Saccharomyces cerevisiae S288C: one gene and its partners. The gene in region 4 interacts genetically with the main gene of each other region. Each region holds a gene or a part of one and is shown on either strand. Other genes may lie near its edges.

What was found.
Region 1: mutations in BCS1 (region 4) and RDH54 together harm fitness more than expected from each alone (negative genetic interaction), as found in Saccharomyces cerevisiae (2 studies listed by BioGRID).
Region 2: mutations in BCS1 (region 4) and AHA1 together harm fitness more than expected from each alone (negative genetic interaction), as found in Saccharomyces cerevisiae (2 studies listed by BioGRID).
Region 3: mutations in BCS1 (region 4) and SHM2 together harm fitness more than expected from each alone (negative genetic interaction), as found in Saccharomyces cerevisiae (2 studies listed by BioGRID).

What each region holds. Positions count from the first base shown.
Region 1 is NC_001134.8:380,457-387,151, forward strand, and holds RDH54 (DNA-dependent ATPase RDH54), read left to right. Parts: upstream 1-2,655; coding exon 2,656-5,532; downstream 5,533-6,695. Other genes in the region: YBR071W (uncharacterized protein), read left to right, coding at 1-590; chaperone protein HSP26, read left to right, coding at 1,574-2,218; YBR072C-A (uncharacterized protein), read right to left, coding at 2,404-2,565; PFF1 (Pff1p), read left to right, coding at 5,830-6,695. UniProt on the Saccharomyces cerevisiae protein: Involved in the recombinational repair of double-strand breaks (DSB) in DNA during mitosis and meiosis. Has DNA dependent ATPase activity. Promotes D-loop (displacement loop) formation with RAD51 recombinase.
Region 2 is NC_001136.10:890,170-895,253, reverse strand, and holds AHA1 (Aha1p), read right to left. Parts: upstream 2,380-5,084; coding exon 1,327-2,379; downstream 1-1,326. Other genes in the region: DNA-binding transcription factor ADR1, read right to left, coding at 1-219; YDR215C (uncharacterized protein), read left to right, coding at 752-1,165; UPC2 (Upc2p), read right to left, coding at 2,762-5,084. UniProt on the Saccharomyces cerevisiae protein: Co-chaperone that binds to the molecular chaperone HSP82 and stimulates its ATPase activity.
Region 3 is NC_001144.5:256,431-261,755, forward strand, and holds SHM2 (glycine hydroxymethyltransferase SHM2), read right to left. Parts: upstream 2,972-5,325; coding exon 1,562-2,971; downstream 1-1,561. Other genes in the region: putative mannosidase MNL2, read left to right, coding at 1-1,425; REX2 (Rex2p), read right to left, coding at 3,308-4,117; FRS1 (phenylalanine--tRNA ligase subunit beta), read left to right, coding at 4,549-5,325. UniProt on the Saccharomyces cerevisiae protein: Interconversion of serine and glycine.
Region 4 is NC_001136.10:1,223,167-1,228,492, forward strand, and holds BCS1 (bifunctional AAA family ATPase chaperone/translocase BCS1), read right to left. Parts: upstream 3,371-5,326; coding exon 2,000-3,370; downstream 1-1,999. Other genes in the region: FRQ1 (frequenin), read left to right, coding at 1-165; PHO92 (mRNA-binding phosphate metabolism regulator), read right to left, coding at 308-1,228; WIP1 (Wip1p), read left to right, coding at 1,591-1,860; ARH1 (NADPH-adrenodoxin reductase), read left to right, coding at 3,656-5,137.

The DNA of each region.
Region 1 (6,695 bases), on a different chromosome or scaffold from region 4:
CCAAGAAAAGACAATCCATGCATTTAGGATCCAAAAGTTCGCTAATCTCGCTGACTAGCGAATTTGGCCATGGACACTCCAAGACGAAGCAGAAAAAGGAGGAGGGCACAGCTCCTTCTCAATTCCTGTCTCCTACGAATAAGAGAAGCACATCTAGTCAGTCAAAGTTAAAAAGGAGCAGCTTGTTACTGGACGAAACACTGCTTAAAGACTACCACTCGGCCATGAGGCACATGCAAACAAACGCTGCAAAGGAAGAAAAGCTGCGGATGGCTCCATCACCAACGCAGTCAACGAGGAGCGAATCAGACGCCAGTCTTTCCTCCACCAAGAGCTCGATCTCTTCCATATTTTCCCAAGATAATGACTATTCCATTCACGATTTGTTGTACGAAGATATTGAAGAGATGGATAAAACAGACGCTTTCAAAATTAACAACACAATAGCAATCGATGATTCTAAAGCTCTCTTTGTCTTCTGTTCAAACGACTCCTCCTCAAGGACAGCGTCTATCGAAACATTGCACGAATCAAATTTGGACAACCTGGATATGGGTTCCAGTAGAAGGACATCGTTGGACTTTTTTTAATATAACCTACCATAGGACACACTTTGTTGTTGATGTTGGACAATTCGTTAATTAAGAGTCCCTAAACGGCTCTACTAGTTCCAACCTCACTTTGTTTTTTCATTTTTTTATGTTTTTTCTAGAACCTTCTTTACGTGATTCTCGCTCGGAATCCGTCAATAGAATGTTTTCAGTCTCCGTTTCAATATTCTGCGCACATCAATCATTTTCTTACTACATACACTAACATTACTCCTAGTTTAATTTAATTGAATTTTTAACTTTCTTTTCTTTTCATTTGGCAATTTGGCTCCTTGAAAACAAGACTATGGGTCTCTCTCATAAGCCTCAGGGGGGGACCCCAAAAAAATAACGCGGCCATCTTGCATGCACCGTTGAACCTGTAGCTTACAGTAAGCCACAATTCTCTTACCTTCTTGGCAATGTGGCACAAAATAATCTGGTTATGTGTCTTCATTTGGTAATCACTGGGATGTTACTGGGGCAGCAGCAACTCCGTGTGTACCCCTAACTCCGTGTGTACCCCTAAAGAACCTTGCCTGTCAAGGTGCATTGTTGGATCGGAATAGTAACCGTCTTTACATGAACATCCACAACCAACGAAAGTGCTTTTTCAAGCATTGCTTGATTTCTAGAAAGATCGATGGTTATTCCCTCCCCCTTATGCGTCCAAAAATATAGGGTGCTCGTAACAGTAAGGTATTCGCACTTAGCGTGCTCGCAACACAAAATTAAGTAATATGCGAGTTTTAGATGTCCTTGCGGATCTATGCACGTTCTTGAGTGGTATTTCATAACAACGGTTCTTTTTCACCCTTATTCCTAAACATATAAATAGGACCTCCATTAGTTAGAGATCTGTTTTTAATCCATTCACCTTTCATTCTACTCTCTTATACTAATAAAACCACCGATAAAGATATATCAGATCTCTATTAAAACAGGTATCCAAAAAAGCAAACAAACAAACTAAACAAATTAACATGTCATTTAACAGTCCATTTTTTGATTTCTTTGACAACATCAACAACGAAGTTGATGCCTTTAACAGATTGCTGGGTGAAGGCGGCTTAAGAGGCTACGCACCAAGACGTCAGTTAGCAAACACACCCGCAAAGGATTCTACTGGCAAGGAAGTTGCTAGACCAAATAACTATGCTGGCGCTCTTTATGATCCCAGAGATGAAACCTTAGATGATTGGTTCGACAATGACTTGTCCCTGTTCCCATCTGGTTTCGGTTTCCCTAGAAGTGTCGCAGTTCCAGTTGATATTTTGGACCATGACAACAACTACGAGTTGAAAGTCGTGGTTCCTGGTGTCAAAAGCAAGAAGGACATTGATATTGAGTACCATCAAAACAAGAACCAAATTTTGGTTTCTGGTGAAATTCCATCTACCTTGAATGAAGAGAGTAAAGACAAGGTCAAGGTCAAGGAGAGCAGCTCTGGTAAGTTCAAGAGAGTCATCACTTTGCCAGACTACCCAGGTGTGGATGCAGACAACATTAAAGCAGACTACGCAAATGGTGTTTTGACATTAACAGTTCCAAAATTGAAGCCTCAGAAGGATGGTAAGAACCACGTCAAGAAGATTGAGGTTTCTTCTCAAGAATCGTGGGGTAACTAAAGTGACCTGGCTCTATAGTGTTGTCCCTCTCGCGAGGACCATTGTTGCTTGCATATGGGCTTGAAACATATGGTCATCACATCTGAGCGATTTTACCTCTTAGAATTAGTTTAGATATATATGAGTTGATGAATAAATAGTTATAAAAACTTGCTTTGGCTTCGATATATGACCGTTATTTTTGACTAAGTTTTAACGAAGGAATCTAACCTCGTTCTTGTAATTACCAAAATCTTCAACAACGCGCTGTTGGAGGTATCTCTATGGATGTGGCTTGAAATATGGATGTCTTGCCTACTTCTACTTCTGGGAAAGGCATTTTTACTCGATCGCGTTAATATATGCATCAAGAAAATAAAAAATAAAACGCGAAGAGCTAAAAAAAAAAAAGAAAACCTACTATAAATAACCGATTAGAATCGAGTTTTTGTATTGAAATGGCGGTAATAAGCGTTAAACCTCGACGAAGAGAGAAGATCCTACAGGAGGTAAAAAACAGCTCGGTATATCAAACGGTATTTGATTCCGGTACTACTCAAATGCAGATACCGAAATATGAGAACAAGCCATTCAAGCCTCCAAGAAGGGTTGGATCAAATAAGTACACACAACTCAAACCAACCGCCACTGCAGTCACAACAGCCCCTATATCTAAAGCCAAAGTTACTGTCAACTTGAAAAGAAGCATTTCGGCGGGACCTACTTTAAATCTTGCCAAGAAGCCGAATAATCTGTCCTCAAATGAAAACACTAGATATTTTACTATCATGTACAGGAAGCCTACTACCAAAAAGCACAAGACTTGGAGTGGTGATGGCTACGCTACCTTAAAAGCCAGTAGCGATAAGTTATGCTTTTATAACGAAGCAGGGAAATTTCTTGGGTCAAGTATGCTACCAAGTGATTCAGATTCTCTCTTCGAAACTCTTTTCAAAGCAGGCTCCAATGAAGTACAATTGGATTACGAATTGAAGGAAAATGCAGAAATACGTAGCGCCAAAGAAGCCTTATCACAAAACATGGGAAATCCCAGCCCACCGACCACAAGCACAACAGAAACAGTGCCTTCTACGAAGAATGACGGTGGCAAATACCAAATGCCTCTGTCTCAGCTGTTTTCACTAAACACTGTGAAAAGATTCAAATCAGTAACAAAGCAAACAAATGAACACATGACCACAGTACCTAAAACCAGTCAAAATTCCAAAGCCAAAAAATATTATCCAGTATTTGATGTCAACAAAATCGATAATCCTATAGTAATGAACAAAAATGCAGCCGCTGAAGTTGACGTAATTGTTGATCCATTACTGGGCAAATTCTTGCGCCCTCATCAGAGGGAAGGGGTGAAGTTCATGTATGATTGCTTAATGGGCTTGGCAAGACCAACTATTGAAAATCCGGATATCGATTGTACTACTAAAAGTTTAGTGTTAGAAAATGACTCAGATATTAGTGGATGCCTTTTGGCTGATGATATGGGTTTAGGTAAAACACTAATGAGTATAACTTTGATTTGGACATTAATTAGGCAAACTCCTTTTGCATCAAAAGTTTCATGTTCGCAATCAGGCATACCATTAACTGGACTTTGTAAGAAGATTTTAGTCGTTTGTCCCGTTACTTTAATAGGAAATTGGAAAAGAGAATTTGGAAAATGGTTAAATTTGTCAAGAATAGGTGTTTTGACATTAAGCTCAAGGAATTCTCCTGATATGGATAAAATGGCTGTCAGAAATTTTTTAAAAGTGCAACGAACTTATCAAGTCTTGATTATTGGCTACGAAAAACTCTTGAGTGTTTCTGAAGAATTAGAGAAAAATAAACATTTGATTGACATGCTGGTGTGTGACGAAGGCCATCGACTAAAAAACGGGGCTTCTAAAATTTTAAATACGCTGAAGAGTTTAGACATAAGAAGGAAGCTTTTGCTTACGGGAACTCCTATACAAAATGATCTTAATGAGTTTTTCACTATTATAGATTTCATAAACCCAGGAATCCTTGGAAGCTTCGCTTCTTTCAAAAGAAGATTCATTATCCCTATAACTAGAGCCAGAGACACTGCAAACAGATACAACGAAGAATTGTTGGAAAAGGGGGAAGAAAGGTCAAAAGAGATGATAGAAATTACGAAAAGATTTATTTTGAGACGAACAAATGCGATTTTAGAAAAGTACCTTCCTCCAAAGACGGATATAATTTTATTCTGTAAACCATACAGCCAACAGATATTGGCATTCAAAGATATTTTGCAGGGCGCACGTTTAGATTTTGGACAATTGACGTTCAGTTCTTCGCTAGGACTAATAACATTACTGAAAAAGGTTTGTAACTCTCCTGGATTGGTTGGCTCAGATCCCTATTACAAATCACATATAAAGGATACCCAATCTCAGGACAGCTATAGTCGTTCTTTGAACTCTGGTAAGTTAAAGGTATTAATGACATTACTAGAAGGTATTAGGAAGGGTACCAAGGAGAAGGTCGTCGTAGTGTCTAACTACACTCAAACATTGGATATAATTGAAAATTTGATGAATATGGCTGGGATGTCACATTGCAGACTCGACGGTTCCATACCTGCTAAACAAAGGGACTCTATCGTCACATCTTTCAATCGGAATCCAGCCATATTTGGATTCTTGTTGAGTGCAAAATCGGGAGGTGTAGGATTGAATCTAGTCGGTGCTTCGCGACTTATTTTATTTGATAATGATTGGAATCCTTCAGTAGATTTGCAAGCGATGTCACGAATTCATAGAGATGGTCAAAAAAAGCCGTGCTTCATATATAGACTTGTCACAACTGGGTGTATCGATGAGAAAATATTGCAAAGGCAATTAATGAAGAACAGTTTGAGCCAAAAATTTCTAGGTGACTCGGAGATGAGAAATAAAGAATCTTCTAATGATGATCTTTTCAATAAAGAGGACTTGAAGGACCTGTTTTCTGTCCATACAGATACCAAGAGTAACACACATGACTTAATTTGTTCTTGCGATGGTTTAGGTGAGGAAATTGAATATCCTGAAACAAATCAACAGCAGAACACCGTAGAGCTGAGAAAGCGTAGCACTACGACATGGACAAGTGCGCTGGATTTACAAAAGAAAATGAATGAAGCAGCCACCAACGATGATGCCAAAAAGTCACAATACATTAGGCAATGTCTCGTTCATTATAAGCATATCGATCCAGCAAGACAAGATGAATTATTTGATGAGGTTATCACAGATTCGTTCACCGAATTGAAAGATAGTATTACCTTTGCGTTTGTAAAGCCCGGCGAGATATGTCTCAGAGAACAATGACGCCAAATATGGACACTTATATACTAAATAAAATAGCTATTATTTAATCACTGATTGTATTTAATAGGTTTATTCTTGCACGACTCATTCAGGTTCAAGTCACATATTAAGTAGGGCCTATTGCTGATTCAAGTTGATATCCACGTTTTCACTAATTTGATAACGATACGCTGCGGGCGCAAATCAAACATCTGAAAGATTTGAATAGCCTTTAGTCCCAAAAAAAAAAAAAAAAAAATAATGTGAAAAATTATCTACAAGGAAATAAATTGATAGGTAAAGTTAAAGAATCACGGCATGAAATTAAAAAGTGTATTCAGATCAGTTCTAAAGTACCGGAAAACAAATTTGAGTTTGCTTCTATTAATCACCTATTCGATTATTACGTTACTCTATATCTTTGATCATGAACGTTATAAACTCAATCTACCAAAAGAGGATGAGCACCCTGAATTCAATGACTTATTAGAAACAGCATGGGGGGACTTACAGATTATCACGGCCTCTTTTCATCCGTACACGTCCAAAGAAAATGATAAAGTACATGATTACTTGCTCAAAAGGGTTCTTGAAATTACAGGGAATTCTTCGTTTGCAAGTGTTTCAGATGACAAAGAAAGCGAGAGATCCATATTATTTCAGCAACAAGATCCTTTCAATGAGTCATCTAGGTTTTCGAGAGTGACATATTTTGAATCTTCTAATATATTAGTTAAGCTTGAGGGTAAAAATCCTGAGGAAGAAGGGTTACTTCTTTCAGCTCATTTCGACTCTGTACCCACAGGATATGGAGCTACCGATGACGGCATGGGTGTAGTGTCTTTACTAGCGAACCTCAAGTACCATATAAAGCACAGACCGAACAGGACTTTAATTTTCAACTTTAATAATAATGAAGAGTTTGGCCTACTAGGTGCATCAACTTATTTTGATCACTCATGGTCTAATTTAACCAAGTATGTGATAAATTTAGAGGGAACTGGTGCTGGTGGTAAAGCTGTACTGTTCCGAACTTCAGATACTTCAACAGCAAGAATATACCAACAGTCTGTTAAGGAAAATCCATTTGGTAACTCTATCTACCAGCAAGGTTTTTATAGCAGATATGTCAGGAGTGAGACAGACTACAAGATTTACGAAGAAAATGGCATGAGAGGCTGGGA
Region 2 (5,084 bases), 330 kb from region 4:
ATTATTTGTGGTAATGATCTTTCCATCTGGCGTCCTCTGTATCACAGAGAAAGTGTTTGAGTTTTCTCTGGAAGCTGATGATGACATTAATAAAATCGGTGAATCATCCGTTTCCATTTCTATTTCTTGTTTCTCATTATTGAAGCCGTTAGAAAAGCACGAATTCAAGTCAACAACGGGAAAGCCTGAACAATCGTTTGGTTTTTCTACGTTAGCCATAGTAATAGAGTATGATTATTTTTTTTATATTTTTTTTTTTTGGAAAACAAAATTCTTATAGTAAAGTAAGGAATAGTAGCAGAATATTTTTCTGAAGTGTTTATAATAAAGGGAGAACCGGGAAAGTAGCAAAATGATTGGTTAATTTATGCAAATCAATCTTATACTTCCAACGAATAAGAGGGAGTATATCAAAACAGAGTAACAATAAACTTTTGCTATGACACCTTTTCTTTCTTTCAAAGATAAAAGAATAAGGCTTTTCTATAGTAGTCGAGCAAATGTTGGAATAAGGAGGTATGGAATTTTGAAAATAGCCTGAGAAATTCAGATCAATGATATATAACTGTTGTCTTCAAAAGGTCTTCAAGGGAAGAAAATTTCCGATCGGAAGTCCAGAATAAATACCACAAGTATAGCACAATAAACAACAGCACAACAACAATAATAACAACACCTGTAGCGAAAACGTTTTCCTATTTTTAAGGCGTTGTTCTTTGAAAACCTGTGGCGAAGTAAAACATGAAAACAAATGAAAACACCGCCAAACCAAGAAAAGAACAACGAAAAAATATCACTTTTATTTAGTTCACAACGGCTAACTATCGACGTTCACCCTTCCTCAGTCTATCACATCGTCCTTAGCTCGAACAACGCCGATAGGCATCAAGTTACATTGAGCTTTACTGCACGTTCCCGCATGATGCCATTGACTAGGGCCCGCCCTTTCGGCAATCATTCTAGCATGTTCCGCATGTTCCTTGACGCCATGGTCATCCTTGCCGTCGCCTCCGGCGTTTCCCTTCCCCCTCAGCTGCCAGGGCGCCGTTCACACAACGCAAGCACACCCGGCGCCAAAAAACCGGGGAAAGACCACGGCGCTATGGTTTCGGAGTTTCCCGCCAATGGCGTTATAACTCCAGTTTATTTTCCTCTTCGTTGGTAAATTCCGGGGAGGCCGTCGGCGCCGGGCCGCAAAAGTAGGACGGGCGATCGGAGCCGCGCGGATGCCGTACAGAACTACATGATGTATTGCATTCTATCTATGCCAATAGTGGTATGTAAATATTTACGCATACTTTTATTGAAACATGAGAACAATATATCTTATAATACGGCACCAAAGCCGAATGTCAATTTAATAGAACGCACGTAGTATTCTTCAAAATTAGCGCGCACGCGATCTTCCTCGCCAACGGGTATGCCAGTCCACTTCACCTGTAATTTGGTTTCATGGAATTCTTGCGACTCATGGAAAGTCATTTCGATAGTAGAGTTGAAAGGGGCAGACCAATCCTTGAGTTTCCAGTGGAAAACAAGTTTCTTGTCCTTTTCGCATGAAACCAACTCGCTGATCACGTTGCCGCCAAAGAGCTCGAATTTTTCTTTGGTCTCCAGCTTCGGTCCGCTGTTGAAAAATTGTGCTGATCTGGTCCAGGCCAATATGCGTTGCTTATCAAGGAACGTTTCGTAGAGCTCGGAGGAAGGCACATTAAAAGTTGGTTCTAAATAAATAGATGTACTATTGCCGCTTCCGTTTTGGGGGACTTTGTTGGTGCTGGAGACTGGTGCTGAAGTTGAAGTAGAAGAGGGAAGTGCATTCTTTTTTGGCTTTGAAGCGGAGTCCTTGATTTCGGTAAAGCTACTTTTTTGGTTACCTCTTGTGTAGTTAGATTTCACCTGAGATTCGGGCACCTGAATGTCATTACCATGGGTGGCCAGCAAATCCTTGCCAAATTGTTGGAAAATTTGTCTCAACTTGGGCAATAACTCGGATCTAATTAGTGGCTTGGCTTCACTCAATTCGCTAGTCTCCTTAAATATAGATATGTCAAATTGATAGCTTGAGGCCTCGCTATCGAAGGCAACTTCAGGAACGTTAATGCTACCCTCGAATGGCAATGCCGATCCGTCCTTAGAGTCCACGTGTCCCTCTATTAACACCGTGATTTTCAAATCAAACAAAGATATAACCTTCCCCTTACGCTGATTAACTTCACAATCACCTTCAATGGACGAAACAGACTTGATTTTGGCATACTTTTTATCCTTCACCGAACCGGCCTCCACTCCAACCAGTTTCTGTTTGAAATACTCCTTGGCCCATCCGATGCAGTTCTTATCGACCCAGTGCCAGTTATTTGGGTTATTCACGACCATATTGATATATTGTTGCTACTATAAACGATTAAGAATAAGACTGAAAGGAATAACGAAAGTAAGGAATTGCCTCTCTATCAAAGTTTCCTATACGAGTGAACTTTCAAAATGCCTGCAGTTCTTTTTGTATTTGCATTACACATAAAAAAAAAAAAAAAAAAAAAAAAAAAAAAAAACTAACTACTTTTATATAATACAATTACAGATATGTTCATTCTCCCACATACAATGCGGTAAGTAGGCATTTTGAATCCATCTTGGTTTGTTGCGAGGCTTCTTTGTTTTTTCTTCTAGAAAATTCCATTGTGAACTGGGTAACACAATATCCCTTTTTTTTTTTTTGGGAATCTATTTCGAATATTCTGCACTTTTAAATTTTCTATCATAACGAAAAATCAGAGAAATTTGTTGTTGTCATCGATGGTAATCCGCCACCGAGGAAATCTAGCATCATATGCATACCACCACCTCCACTGTATTCGTCAACATCTTGAGGCAGCACCTGCGTGACTCCTTCGAGAAACCAGACTTTATCCTTGACCTCTGTGGCAAATCCTCGAAGTAGTTTATAATATGATCTCATAATTCTCATTGCACCTAAATCACCTGTCATCAGTAATGCCAGGAATGTCTTGTCTAGCAATGCTGGAAATGTAAATACCCGCAGAATAAAATCACCCTGGTTTTTTTCACGGTGCAATTTATCTAAATAAGCTAGTGTTATCAAATATGGCGAATCTAAGCCGACAGGATACAAATCGGCAATACTTTCATCAAAACATACCAATTCAGTAATTGTTCCAACATCAGGGTTAATGACATCGCCTAAATCGCTAAGATCAACAGATATAATGTTATGAAATTTAGATCTTTCACTCAAAGGCCACACAGCGGTTAAAATTGTTGCAGCACCTTTGACATGAAAGATCCAAGCGCTTGGTGACATGCTATTCAAACTTTGGTTTCCTACAGTGCCGTTACCACTAGCATTTGCTAACGAGTCCATGATTAGTATCAGGGCGCTGGCAACTAGCGCATCGGTGTTATTCTCAGATATTTCTAAAACAGCTTCTCTTAATAATCTCAGAGCGTCTAGGCGGTGAGATGAAACGTATTGCTCCAGTCCAGTTTCAGTCCTCGAAAGATGGGTGGCACTGAATGCCAACAAAGCGTGCATTAAAAATGGATAGTCAAATGCTAACTCCGGTATGTAGTCCCTCCATATTTCAGGCCCAGAAACTTTGGCCGCTGTAATCGTAGGCCAGACCTTTGTGCAATAATGATGAAACAGTTTCATGTCTATCAGGTTCAGATTGCCTTTGGTAGAAAGATCTAAAAGCTTAGCGATGTTACTGGTACCAGCAGAAACAGAACTTCGGTCAGCTTCGTTATTAATTTTTGAGGTCATGTCTTGCCGCGATGCATCGTCTTCATTCTCTGTCTGTGATGTTTGTAAACTTATCGTTGGTTCGTTGTTCTCCAAGGCTGCTTTTGTCAGATTTCCTAGAGAACTTATAGAATCTTGCATCTCTTGCCTATCATTCAACACTGCAGAGGGCGTTGATGGAGAAATGTTGCTGTTTCTGTTCATGTTTCTTTCAATCATTGATATAGGCGCCATTGTCGAAACCGCATCAGCCGCCTGAGGTTCCATAATACTAGCACTTCCCCCTTGGGCGTTATTCGATGGCGCTGGACTCTTCGTATCAGAGAGCTGACCATCATTCTCCTTTACAGAAGCAGCTGCACGTTCATGATGCTCTTGCATATTGGCCAAAGCTTCCTCTGCGTTGCTGGCCTTAGTAGCTCTTGAATTGCCGTTATTTATTGGAAACTTAATACCTAACAGTTCCTGAAAGTCATAGGAAACACCACCAATACCAGCTGTTGGAAAGGTACTTAACGACTTTAGGCTTAGCCCCATCTTACTTAACTGAGATAATGCATCAGCTTGTAATGTAGCAGCATCGCTGTTTAAAGTAGTTTCGCTTGTTTGTGATTGTAAAGGCCCTTCCTTTACCTTTTTGCTGTTTTCTTCCTGAACGCCACCTTCCTCATCGTTAGGTTGTTGCTCTTGCTGAAGCAGTACTTGTTGCTGCTGTTGCAAAAAATGTTGTTGGTATTGCTGGAGTTGTTCCTGTTGTTGTTGCTGAACTTGTTGGTGTTGTTCCTGACGTAATTGTTGATACTGCTGCAGCTGAACTTGCTGATGCTGTTGCAATTGCAGCTGCTGGTGTAATTGATATTGTAATTGTTGTTGAGTGTAGTTTTGGCCGGAAGGAATCCTGTTACATAGTAACATCCCGCTTAGACTATTTGATAAGCTCATTCCCGTGGATTGCAATGCAGGACTACCCGCAAGATCGAATGAACCATATCTCTCGTTTGGAGTTCCACTTGCTTGCTGCGCTTGGGTCTGTGGTTGAGATTGCTGCTGCACTTGCTGCTGTTGCTGAAGTTGGAACGCACCCATATTTCCAGAAGGCAATGGCGGTAATAGTAAGCCATCGATACCTGAATTCAATCTTTCAGGAGAACCAAAACCAATAGTGCCATTTTGAGAGAAAAAGTTATTCATCATATCTTTCTTATTGATGGTACCCTGGAGGCCCATACTTAGAGGAGTCATATTGTTTTTGTCCTCTATAGGGGCCGATGACTTTTCCTCGCTCTCACTCTTAGTTGTAGAGGCGCTTGATGGAAAG
Region 3 (5,325 bases), on a different chromosome or scaffold from region 4:
AGCATCATGAAAAGTATCAATGAAAATTTCAAGTTCGTACACTGTCAGCAGTTAGGGAAATTCTTAAATCCTCCAATAGATGATAATAGCCTCCAAGAACAATCTCAATACCAGGCTTATAGAATTAATGAAAAAACAGTACCCATTCTAGAAAATCTATTCAAAATCAATGACCTCTTCCAATCTTCTTATGATATCCTGGACGGCTCAAGTAAAAATGCTAATGCTGCAACGATGGACCCCAGTATTGGTTCAGAGGTAGAAGCAGTCGACGAAATAATTGAGAAAAGAAACTTTAAAGACGGTACTAAAAAAGATTCGACAAAAAACACCGTAGGTGATAAATCATTAATAGACTCGCAAACGTTTTTAACAAATTCCATCAGTAACATTTTTAAATTCATGACTTTTCGACCCATGTTGCCCAAGCAAACGGAAAACAAAAAGTTTAATTTTCTGAATTCCATTCTAACAAAATCTCAATTCATGCCCACGACTAATGAGCTAGATGTCACGATAAGAAAATCTTACGATGTCTCGTTATACTCATGCAGACTTGGCGGCATTCTAGGTTTAAGTTCACGTGTTCCCCACCGAGGCGGTGTCAACACGAAATATATTTTACCATCGTCACTATTGGAAATGAGCGAAATAATAACAGAAAGTTGTTTTATGCTAATGGAGGAGTTCGACGGGCTGCTCCCTCAAAAATTCGAGTTGGACCCTTGCACTGATGAGACTAATGGGAATTGCGAGTTTAACGGCGAAACTAAATCACGAATGATTGCCAACGGCGAATATGAAACTTTTGAAAATGACCTAGATGTCGGGATCAAAGTTTCGAATTATGGGAAAGGTGGGAATGACCAGAAAGCTAAGAGAAATGTACTAAGCAAAGATGGGATAACAGAGACTCAAAACATAAAAGGTGATACTGTTGGAAGCTCGAAATCGATTGCTGAAATAGACGGCGACGAAGTAACGCAAATACGTAGAGTTTTTACGCTTGGTAAGGATATCAAACCGCATATTACAACGGACGATACCATGGGTTCTCAGTGGAAAAACCATCCAGACTGGCCATTTTGGGTCAACAAGGTAGAATCCAGAAGATTGTTGGATTCGAATATCATTGAATCTATATTTTATATGTACAGAATCAGTGGAGAACAAAAATGGAGAAGCATGGGTAAGCAGTCTTTTGGAATCTTAATGCAAGAATTAATGGAACTAAACAGTGGTGCCAAAGGATTGTGGCAAATAAAGGAATTTTATGAAAACGGTGAAAAAGTGAACAATGATTTACCTAGCTATTGGTTCTCCAGAACATTAAAATACTATTTGCTACTATTCAGCGATGGTGACAAGGTTTCCCTGGACAAACACATCTTAACTCAAGGAGGGCACATAATCAAAAAGAAATGAAGTTAACGTTAGAAAAATCGTACGCACATACATACATACATATAGGTACATATATACATAATGAGAAGAGGAGAAAATGAATACTTATACAGTAATGTTTATTTTTTTGGGATTAAGTGTCGTTGTGGTGATTTCTTTACACAGCCAATGGGTATTCGCCAGCCCAGTCGTAAATTTCCTTTTTCCAGGTGTTCAAAACATCAGAGCCTTCGTCGACCTTGGCTTTGAAGTCCTTTAATCTACAAGCATCCTTTGGCAAGCTTTGTTGAACTTGTTGAGCGAATTCTACAGCCTTGTTAATGTATTGAACAATTCTGTGGAAATCTTCTTCACCCATTCCTCTAGTGGTCATGGCTGGAGCCCCAATACGGACACCACCTGGAACCAAAGCAGATTTGTCACCTGGAATAGAGTTTTTGTTCAAAGCAATGTTAATCTTTTCACAAATGTATTCAACACGAGCACCATCAACACCCTTTTCTCTCAAGGATACTAGAACCATGTGAGAATCGGTACCGTTGGAAACTAATCTGTAGCCCAAGTTCTTAAATTCACTTTCCAAAGCCTTAGCATTCTTCAAGACTTGAGTTTGGTATTCCTTGAATTCTGGAGTGGCAGCTTGCTTCAAAGCAGTGGCCAAAGCAGCAATGGTATGGTTGTGTGGACCACCTTGGTGACCTGGGAAAACAGAGAAGTTAATTGGGTTTTCCAAGTCGTATAGAACTTCCTTACCGGTCTTAGGGTTGATAGATCTCACACCTCTTCTGAAGAAAATCATAGCACCACGTGGACCTCTCAAAGACTTGTGAGTGGTGGTGGTAACGATATCAGCGTATTCGAAAGGAGATGGGATGACACCTGCGGCGATCAAACCAGAAATGTGGGCCATGTCTACCATCAAGTAAGCACCACATTTGTCGGCGATTTCTCTCATTCTCTTGTAGTCAATTAAACGACAGTATGCTGAAGTACCAGCAACAAGAACCTTTGGTCTATATAGGATGGCGTTCTTTTCTAAAGTATCGTAGTCGATAATACCGGTTTCTGGGTTAACTCTGTATGGGAAAGATTCGAAGTATGTGGAAACAGCAGAAATTTTTCTGTTTTCAGTAGCGTAACCGTGAGACAAATGACCACCATCTGGTAGGTATAGACCCATCAATCTTTCATGAGGCTTCATAATAGCTTGATAAACCTGCAAGTTAGCAGGAGAACCAGATAAAGTTTGGACGTTAACACCCCATTTGTCTGGAGTAACATGGAAAGCTTTCAAAGCTCTTTGTTGACATAGAATTTCCATTCTGTCAATGTGTTCATTACCACCGTAGTAACGAGCACCTGGATAACCTTCAGAGTATTTGTTGGACAATGGAGTTCCAAGGGCATCGAAAACGGAGGTTGAGGTGAAATTTTCAGAAGCAATCAAATCGATGGAGTGCTTTTGTCTTTCAATTTCATCCTTGATAATGGAGTCCACTTCAGGGTCGGTGTCCACCAAATGAGAGGTGATCAACTTATGATGAGCGTCGGATAGAGTGTAAGGCATGTTAAGGAGGATTCGGTTTAAGCTGTTATGCTTTGCTATGGGGTAGTATCTTTCGTAAAGGTTACACTAGAAGAAGGAAAGATTACTGAACGCAAACTAAGGGAAGCAAGTTCTGCATTATATATAAAACAAGATGAAGAAGACTCATGGTTCGGTCTAAGATGATTATGAATTTAAAAATTATACAGAGTAAAAAGCGAACATGAGAAACCCAAGAGATAGAGTCAAACCTTTATGGTCAAAGCAACCTGAAAGGGTCATTTCTCACCAGGAGTCATGTTTCGTGTGTGAAATATTTGAAAAATTTCACTTCTTTTTTCTTTTTTTTTTTCTACATTAAAAATCGGTGCGTTGTCTTTTCAAAGATGAGGTAGATGAAGATGGTGACTCCGGCTGTTCAGATCCGATTGACTCGACCGACTCTGTTTCCTGTGGTGGCTTCAAGTAGTTGTCCATGTACCATTGCAATTGAGCTATGCTCTCTTTGATATCACTATAAGCAGTGTGGGCAGCTTCTTTTTTTGGATTACGTGCTTGTAAAGCGGGATTGTGTCTGCGGGCAACTTCCATGATGCTACTGACGTCAACTATTCTGTAAAAGAGATGATCAATGACCTTGGGAAACTCGCGGACCATGAACAAGCGGTCCATATGTACACTATTGCCTGCCAAGACGCCAACGTTCTTGTCTGGGATGTAGCGCTGGATGTACTCGAGCAGCTCATCTTCTACCTGGGCCAAAGTCTTCTCACTTGCCAAAACTTTGGCGGTGAGACCGCTATTACCGTGGTGCTCAATACACCACTCGTTCATTTTGTTCATCACCTCGGGACCATAATGGATGACGCTCTCATAATGCGAGTCTCCTTGGCCATCGGCCGCTTTGACGGGTGCCAGGTGTCCATCGGTGATGATGCAGCAAATCTCGATAATTCTGTCATTCACGTGGTCTAAACCGGTCATCTCGCAGTCGATCCAGACCAAGGGTTTGAACAGCTTGGTTTTAAGTTCGGGTGTTTGCGCCATTGATTGCAGGTTTTGGATGGTTCGAGGACGTAAGTACTGTGAAACGGATCTTCTGTACAGCGAGAAGAGGTTTGGGCGAGTGCGAGCTACGATTCTTGCCGGAAACAACAACCACTTCATCTTGATCTCTTCTGTTTATTTGTGAAAGCTCCTTTTCTTTTTTTTCATTTTCTTTGCAAATCGAAAAGTTCACACTGATTTTTTATTAGTTCTTTTAAGTGCCCAACTTGACAGGAAAAAGAAACACCCCAAAGGGAATACCAGTGTATGTAAGGCTTGAATTATACGTATGAGCATGCGTTTGATGGTTGTCGTCAGAGCCAGTGCTCTGAGAGTGTCCCAGATGACTACAACCCTTGTATAAAAGTACATCTTCTTGATTATTTATCACGACACACGAGGTGACCGATTATTCAGAATCGGTACCAAAAAAGAAAGAAAATTGAAGGAAATGAAAAATTTTCAATGTATTTCTCGAAAGCCTGGAGTTGATCAAATGTTCAAAAAATAGGGCAGAATAGCATAACACACATCAATAACACCGAGCCAGCATGCCTACCGTCTCCGTGAACAAGCAGCAATTATTTGATCTTCTAGGCAAAAACTACACTTCCCAAGAGTTCGATGAATTATGTTTTGAATTCGGTATGGAAATGGACGAAGACACCACAGAGGAGGCCTTGAAAACCGGGGAGGAGCCGGAATTGAAGCTTGATATCAGTGCCAATCGTTACGATTTGCTTTGTATCGAAGGTATTTCACAGTCGCTGAACGAATACTTGGAACGTAAAGAAAGACCTGACTATAAATTAAGCAAGCCAACCACTAAGTTGATCATCGACAAATCAACGGAGCAAATTAGACCTTTTGCTACCGCTGCTGTATTGAGAAATATCAAGCTTAACGAAAAATCTTACGCTTCTTTTATTGCCTTGCAAGATAAATTACATGCCAATCTATGTAGAAACAGAAGCTTGGTTGCCATGGGTACTCACGATTTAGATTCAATTGAAGGTCCATTCCATTACAGAGCTCTACCACCAAAGGACATCAAGTTCGTACCATTGAATCAAACCCAAGAGTTTACTGGTGACAAATTGATCGAGTTTTATAAATCTCCAGAACAGAAAAACAACATAGGGAGATACGTTCACATTATTGAGGATTCTCCAGTCTTCCCAGTTATTATGGACAGCAAAGATCGTGTTTGCTCCCTGCCACCATTAATCAATAGTGAACATTCGAAGATCTCTGTGAACACCCGTAACATTTTGATTGATATAACCGCCACCGATAAGACCAAAGCCGAGATCGTTTTGAACATATTA
Region 4 (5,326 bases):
ACACTTAATGAGGATGAGGCAACGCCCGAAATGAGGGTAAAGAAGATCTTCAAGTTGATGGATAAGAACGAAGATGGTTACATTACGCTGGACGAATTCAGAGAAGGTTCTAAAGTCGATCCCTCTATTATTGGTGCCTTAAACCTTTACGATGGCTTAATATGAAAACTTTGTTTTTGCTTCTTATGGATTGGATGTTATAACAGTAGAAGTAATTTTAGGATAATTTTAAATAAAAATAATATTAAAAATAATAATAATACTAATAATAAATGAGAATAAAATGTTGATAAATGAGGGATAAGGTCTATTCATACGTCTCATCCAAGAAGGAGAAAATATCAGAATCTTGAGTTTTAAATAGATTAATTATTGAAATTCCAATCGAATATGGAATTTCTTGAGTATCTCTGGAATGTGTTATCGGTTTCATTTCATTGGATGGTATCAAAAACCTTTTTAACGATCTGTTATTTATATCACGCACGATCACCCATCTTACTTTAAAGGCTTTGCCATATTTTTGTTCATCTTCCCATATACTGGTGTCCAAATCCATTTTCAAATCCGATACCATTTCTGCAACGCCACAGAATCTTCCTGATGTGTTGATTGAAAAAAATAAAAACACTTTGGCTCCCGAATTAAGCTTTTTATATGCCTCAGATAGCCTTTTGTTGCCGAAATGAGTAGACGACCAAATTCCGTTGTAAAACGACCTTTTGACATGCTTCAAAGACGAGGACTTTATTACAAAAAATCTTGAGTTTTCTGGAATATTTAACCAAGGGGGAATAATTGCAGCACTTTTTCTTTTATTAATTTCATTGAAAGTTTGTTCTTTAGTTGACTGCTGCAAATACCTTGGTTTGGATAAATATTCCCTGTAATAATTATTATTGCTATTATCAGATTGGTTGTAGTCTCTAGAAAAGGAGAAATGCCGATTTAAATTTGAGCTTGTCAATGGAATACTATTAATCTGGTGTGTATAGTTTTCATGAGTGATCTCTTCTTTATTTTCTTTCTTGTTAATATCATTTAAAGCTGTGACATCGTTCTTTAGCTTTGGGTTTGTTTGTACTTCAATATGAGTTCTCTCCAAGGAATGGATCAACCCATCTAGTTCTCTTAAAGAGTCTTCAATTGTCCTGTCATTTCTCTTATTTTCTTTCCATTCAGAGTTGAAGTAAAAATTTGGGGGACCTGTAGACCAGATTTGATTCATTTTTAGAGCACAACGCAATACTTACGTCACACCAGCCGTAGACGATATCTTCCTTTCTTAACGAAATAGTAACAGAGGACACAATCTGAAAACTTCTTTTGCGATTCATAACCAACAGAAAATTTTGGAGGAAAACAATGTAGCTGTATAAATATATATATATATATATGTATGTATACTTATTTATTTATATATATATCACAAAAGGCTACCAAAAAGATTAGCCGCCGAGGTACATCGTGAGGAGTGATATTCTGGGGAAACGGGTAGCGATTTCGTGTCTATTTTCGGTCACCAAGTCAACGTTACTTACTGTCGTATAACCAAAGTACAACAATAGCAACAGTTCCTAACATTCTTCCATGGATACGGAAGCATTGGCCAATTATTTGCTACGGCAGCTTAGTTTAGATGCGGAGGAGAATAAGCTAGAAGATCTTCTCCAACGGCAAAATGAAGATCAAGAGTCTAGTCAAGAATATAACAAGAAATTATTATTGGCATGTGGATTTCAGGCCATTTTAAGAAAAATTCTGCTGGATGCTAGAACAAGGGCAACTGCAGAAGGTTTGAGGGAAGTATATCCTTATCATATTGAAGCTGCAACGCAGGCTTTTCTGGATAGTCAATGAAGGGGTATTTTTAAGCCTCTTTATCATATACTCTTTTGTTCGTAATAGCAAATAACTCGGTCTTATTAACGAGAAAAAGTTAAAGCATCTTCTGAATTTTTATTATATACAAGTTATGTAGTAAGGCGCCACTTAGCACCTAGAAAATATGATTAGCGTTCCGTAAGCTGGAGACCATTTTCAACGCATCGTGTGGTGCATCTTTATTCATAACGAAAAGTCCTTGCAACTGGGCGGTACTTACGGTGATATCCAATTCTTTAACACTATTTACAAACTTTTTGCATATATCAGTCTCACCTGGGTAAAATTTCATAAACATTTTTTCTACCTGGTATGGAGTTGCGTTACCAACGAAGACTTTGTAGTCAATACGACCTGGTCTCATTATAGCCGCGTCTAGCTTTTCAGGATGATTGGTAGTCATGAATGTAATAGTTTCTTCAGAAGATGTGACGCCATCCAGGGCATTCAGTAAACCGCTAAATGTTACGCTAGAATGAAAACCTTGTTCACCAGTTTGACTTCTTTTGTTGAACGCCGCGTCAATATCTTCCAGTAATAGTATGCTCCTTTCTGGCATGTTATTCATTAAGTGGTTTAATCTGTCATCTGTTAAATTATTTTCGGAGAGGTTTAAAATACAAATGTTGTAGTCTAATTCGCCCGCTAAAGCCTGGATAAAGCTAGTCTTACCAGATCCGGGAGGGCCATAGAGTAAATATCCCCTGCGATATGGGATACCCCTGTCAGAGTACCATTTGCCGTTCTTCATAAAATCATAAACGTCATCGAGAATACCCTCTTTGATGCCACTGTCCAAAATGACGGAGGGCAGCATCCTTTTAGCTTTTGGTTGACCAAACTTTCTCCATTCAGGGCCGAAAGAAGTGTAAATAACAGTCTTGCCCTCAGTAGTCTTCAGGGCTATGTCTTTAGCCTCGTTCAAAATGTCATCGAACAAATGTTTGTCACGGTACAGTGTAGTTAAGGTTACGGTCTCAAATGGTGACCCGTTTGCGATATCTATCATTTTTGCGGACCTTTCTCTTTTAATCAGGATAAAAGCACCCTTATAACGAATCCAATGATTTCCCGGACCCGGAACCAGCGAAAATTTTGTACTAACTGATCCATTGTCATGTTGTATGTAGTTTGTCCTAACGGATAAGTGTCTAGATACCCTTTGAGGATGTTTGGCCATCCATGTTAGAAACCAGGCGTATGATTTGTCCTTCGACTGAATCTCTAAGTCGACAATCATTTGTCGGTATAGGACCCTGCTGGCTTTTATTATACCGGATCTAGCTACAGCTAAACCTGTACCAAGGATCATAAGACCACCGCCGGCGGCAAAATAGGGATTGTTTGACATAGCATCGCCAACTAGTTTTGAAAGTTTTTCCCGGACTGAGTCATTACCAGTTTCATTTGTTGGCGGAGTAATTACACCACTCAGATTTGGAGTAGCCTGTTTATCATATTGTATGTCAATCGGCTTATCCGACATGGTAGATTGAGGGCACACTTCATTTTTTTTCAAATCGTCCCTTGGTACGTCTACTGCGTTGCAAATATAGAAGAGTGGAAATCTTTACTTATACTATTTACATCGATTTTTCGGCACTCTTTAAGGGTAACTCAATCGAGATATAATTCGAAGAGCAGTAAACTATAGCTCGAACGTAACAGAAAGTTTTTTGCTTGCTATAGTTCTTGGCCACAACGCCTCATTCATTCATTTAGAAAGTTTCTCACTCTTTCTTCTTCCTTTTTTAGCTCATTACTTGTGAAAATGAGCTTTGTTCAAATAAGGCACATTTCTTCACAAATAAACCGTAAGACTGTATCCATTGTTGGATCGGGGCCTTCCGGCTTTTATACAGCGTACCATTTACTCAAGAAGTCACCGATTCCATTAAATGTTACTATATGGGAAAAGTTACCTGTTCCTTTTGGTTTAAGTAGATATGGTGTGGCACCTGATCATCCAGAAGTCAAAAATTGTGAAGAAACGTTTACCACATGTGCAGAAGAGTTTTCTTCCCCTACAAACCAAAAGCATAAATTTTCCTTTGTTGGTGGTATAACCATTGGAAAAGAAATATTGTTGAAGGAATTGCTGGATAATCAAGATGCTGTTATTTTAAGTTATGGTTGTACAGGGGACAGAAAGCTGAATATCCCTGGCGAACTCGGAACAAAAGGGGTGTTTAGCAGTAGAGAATTTGTCAATTGGTACAATGGTCATCCTGATTTCGCAAAGGATAAGCGATTTACCGATTTTGACTGGAGCAAAGTTTCGAAAGTTGGTATTATAGGAAACGGTAACGTTGCTCTTGATATTACGCGTGTACTTATTTCTAATCAAATTGATGAAATATGGGAAAATACGGACATCTCATCTCTTGCACTAAATTTGCTAAGAAGGGCACCTGTAAAGGACGTTAAGCTAATTGCACGAAGGGATTTCGTTCATTCCAAATTCACCAACAAAGAATTAAGAGAACTATGGGAGTTAGAAAAGTATGGCATACGTGGCCGTATTGATCCTAAATTTTTCCAGAAAGAAATGTTTGACCCATCTAAGTACGATCGTGCATTCAATAGACGAGTAGAGATGTGTAGTGAGTATCTCAAGCCATTTAATGAACGTTCGAAGAAAAACTATAAAAAGGCTCCTCCTCCAAGCAGCGGATATGACAAATTCTGGGAGTTAGATTATTTGAAGACTCCCTTGAAAATTAATAGAGACGATTTTGGTGCAATCAACTCTTTGAGTTTATGTAACAATCGATTAAATGAAGATAACAGTTTGCAACCCTTGAAGGACGTCAATAATATTATGACATATAAAGTGGATTTGCTGATTACTTCATTGGGATATGCAGGCGTTCCCATGCCTGAATTCTCTAAGTTGTCTATTGGATTTGACAAAGATCATATAGCTAATAAACAGGGTCGTGTTTTAACTTCCAGCGGAGAAATATTCCCACATTTATATGCATCTGGTTGGATCCGTAAGGGCAGCCAGGGCGTTATTGCCTCGACAATGCAAGATGCTTTTGAAGTTGGAGACAGAGTAATACAAGACTTGGTGGTCAGCGGAGCGCTATCCTTAGAGAATTCTATCGACCTCTCTAATATCAAGCACACCACATGGAAGGATTGGGAAAGAATCAACAAGAAGGAATTGCTTCGGGGCAAAAAGGAACACAAAACTCGGTCAAAGTTTTTAACTTTTGAAGAGTTGTGGAACGGTGTAGAAGGCATATAAAATAGATCGTTAATATATTTCTAACATCTTCTTGTAAATGTAAATATTTTAAAAGGGTTGATCTTATTACGGAGAGAACCAATCATATCGAAGGATTTCTCAATAGTAAGTATCCCGCGCGTGGTCCTCGGGGAAATAGAACGAGAAACTTCAAGTACTTGATAGCAAGAAAGTGAGTGCTTGGCTTCC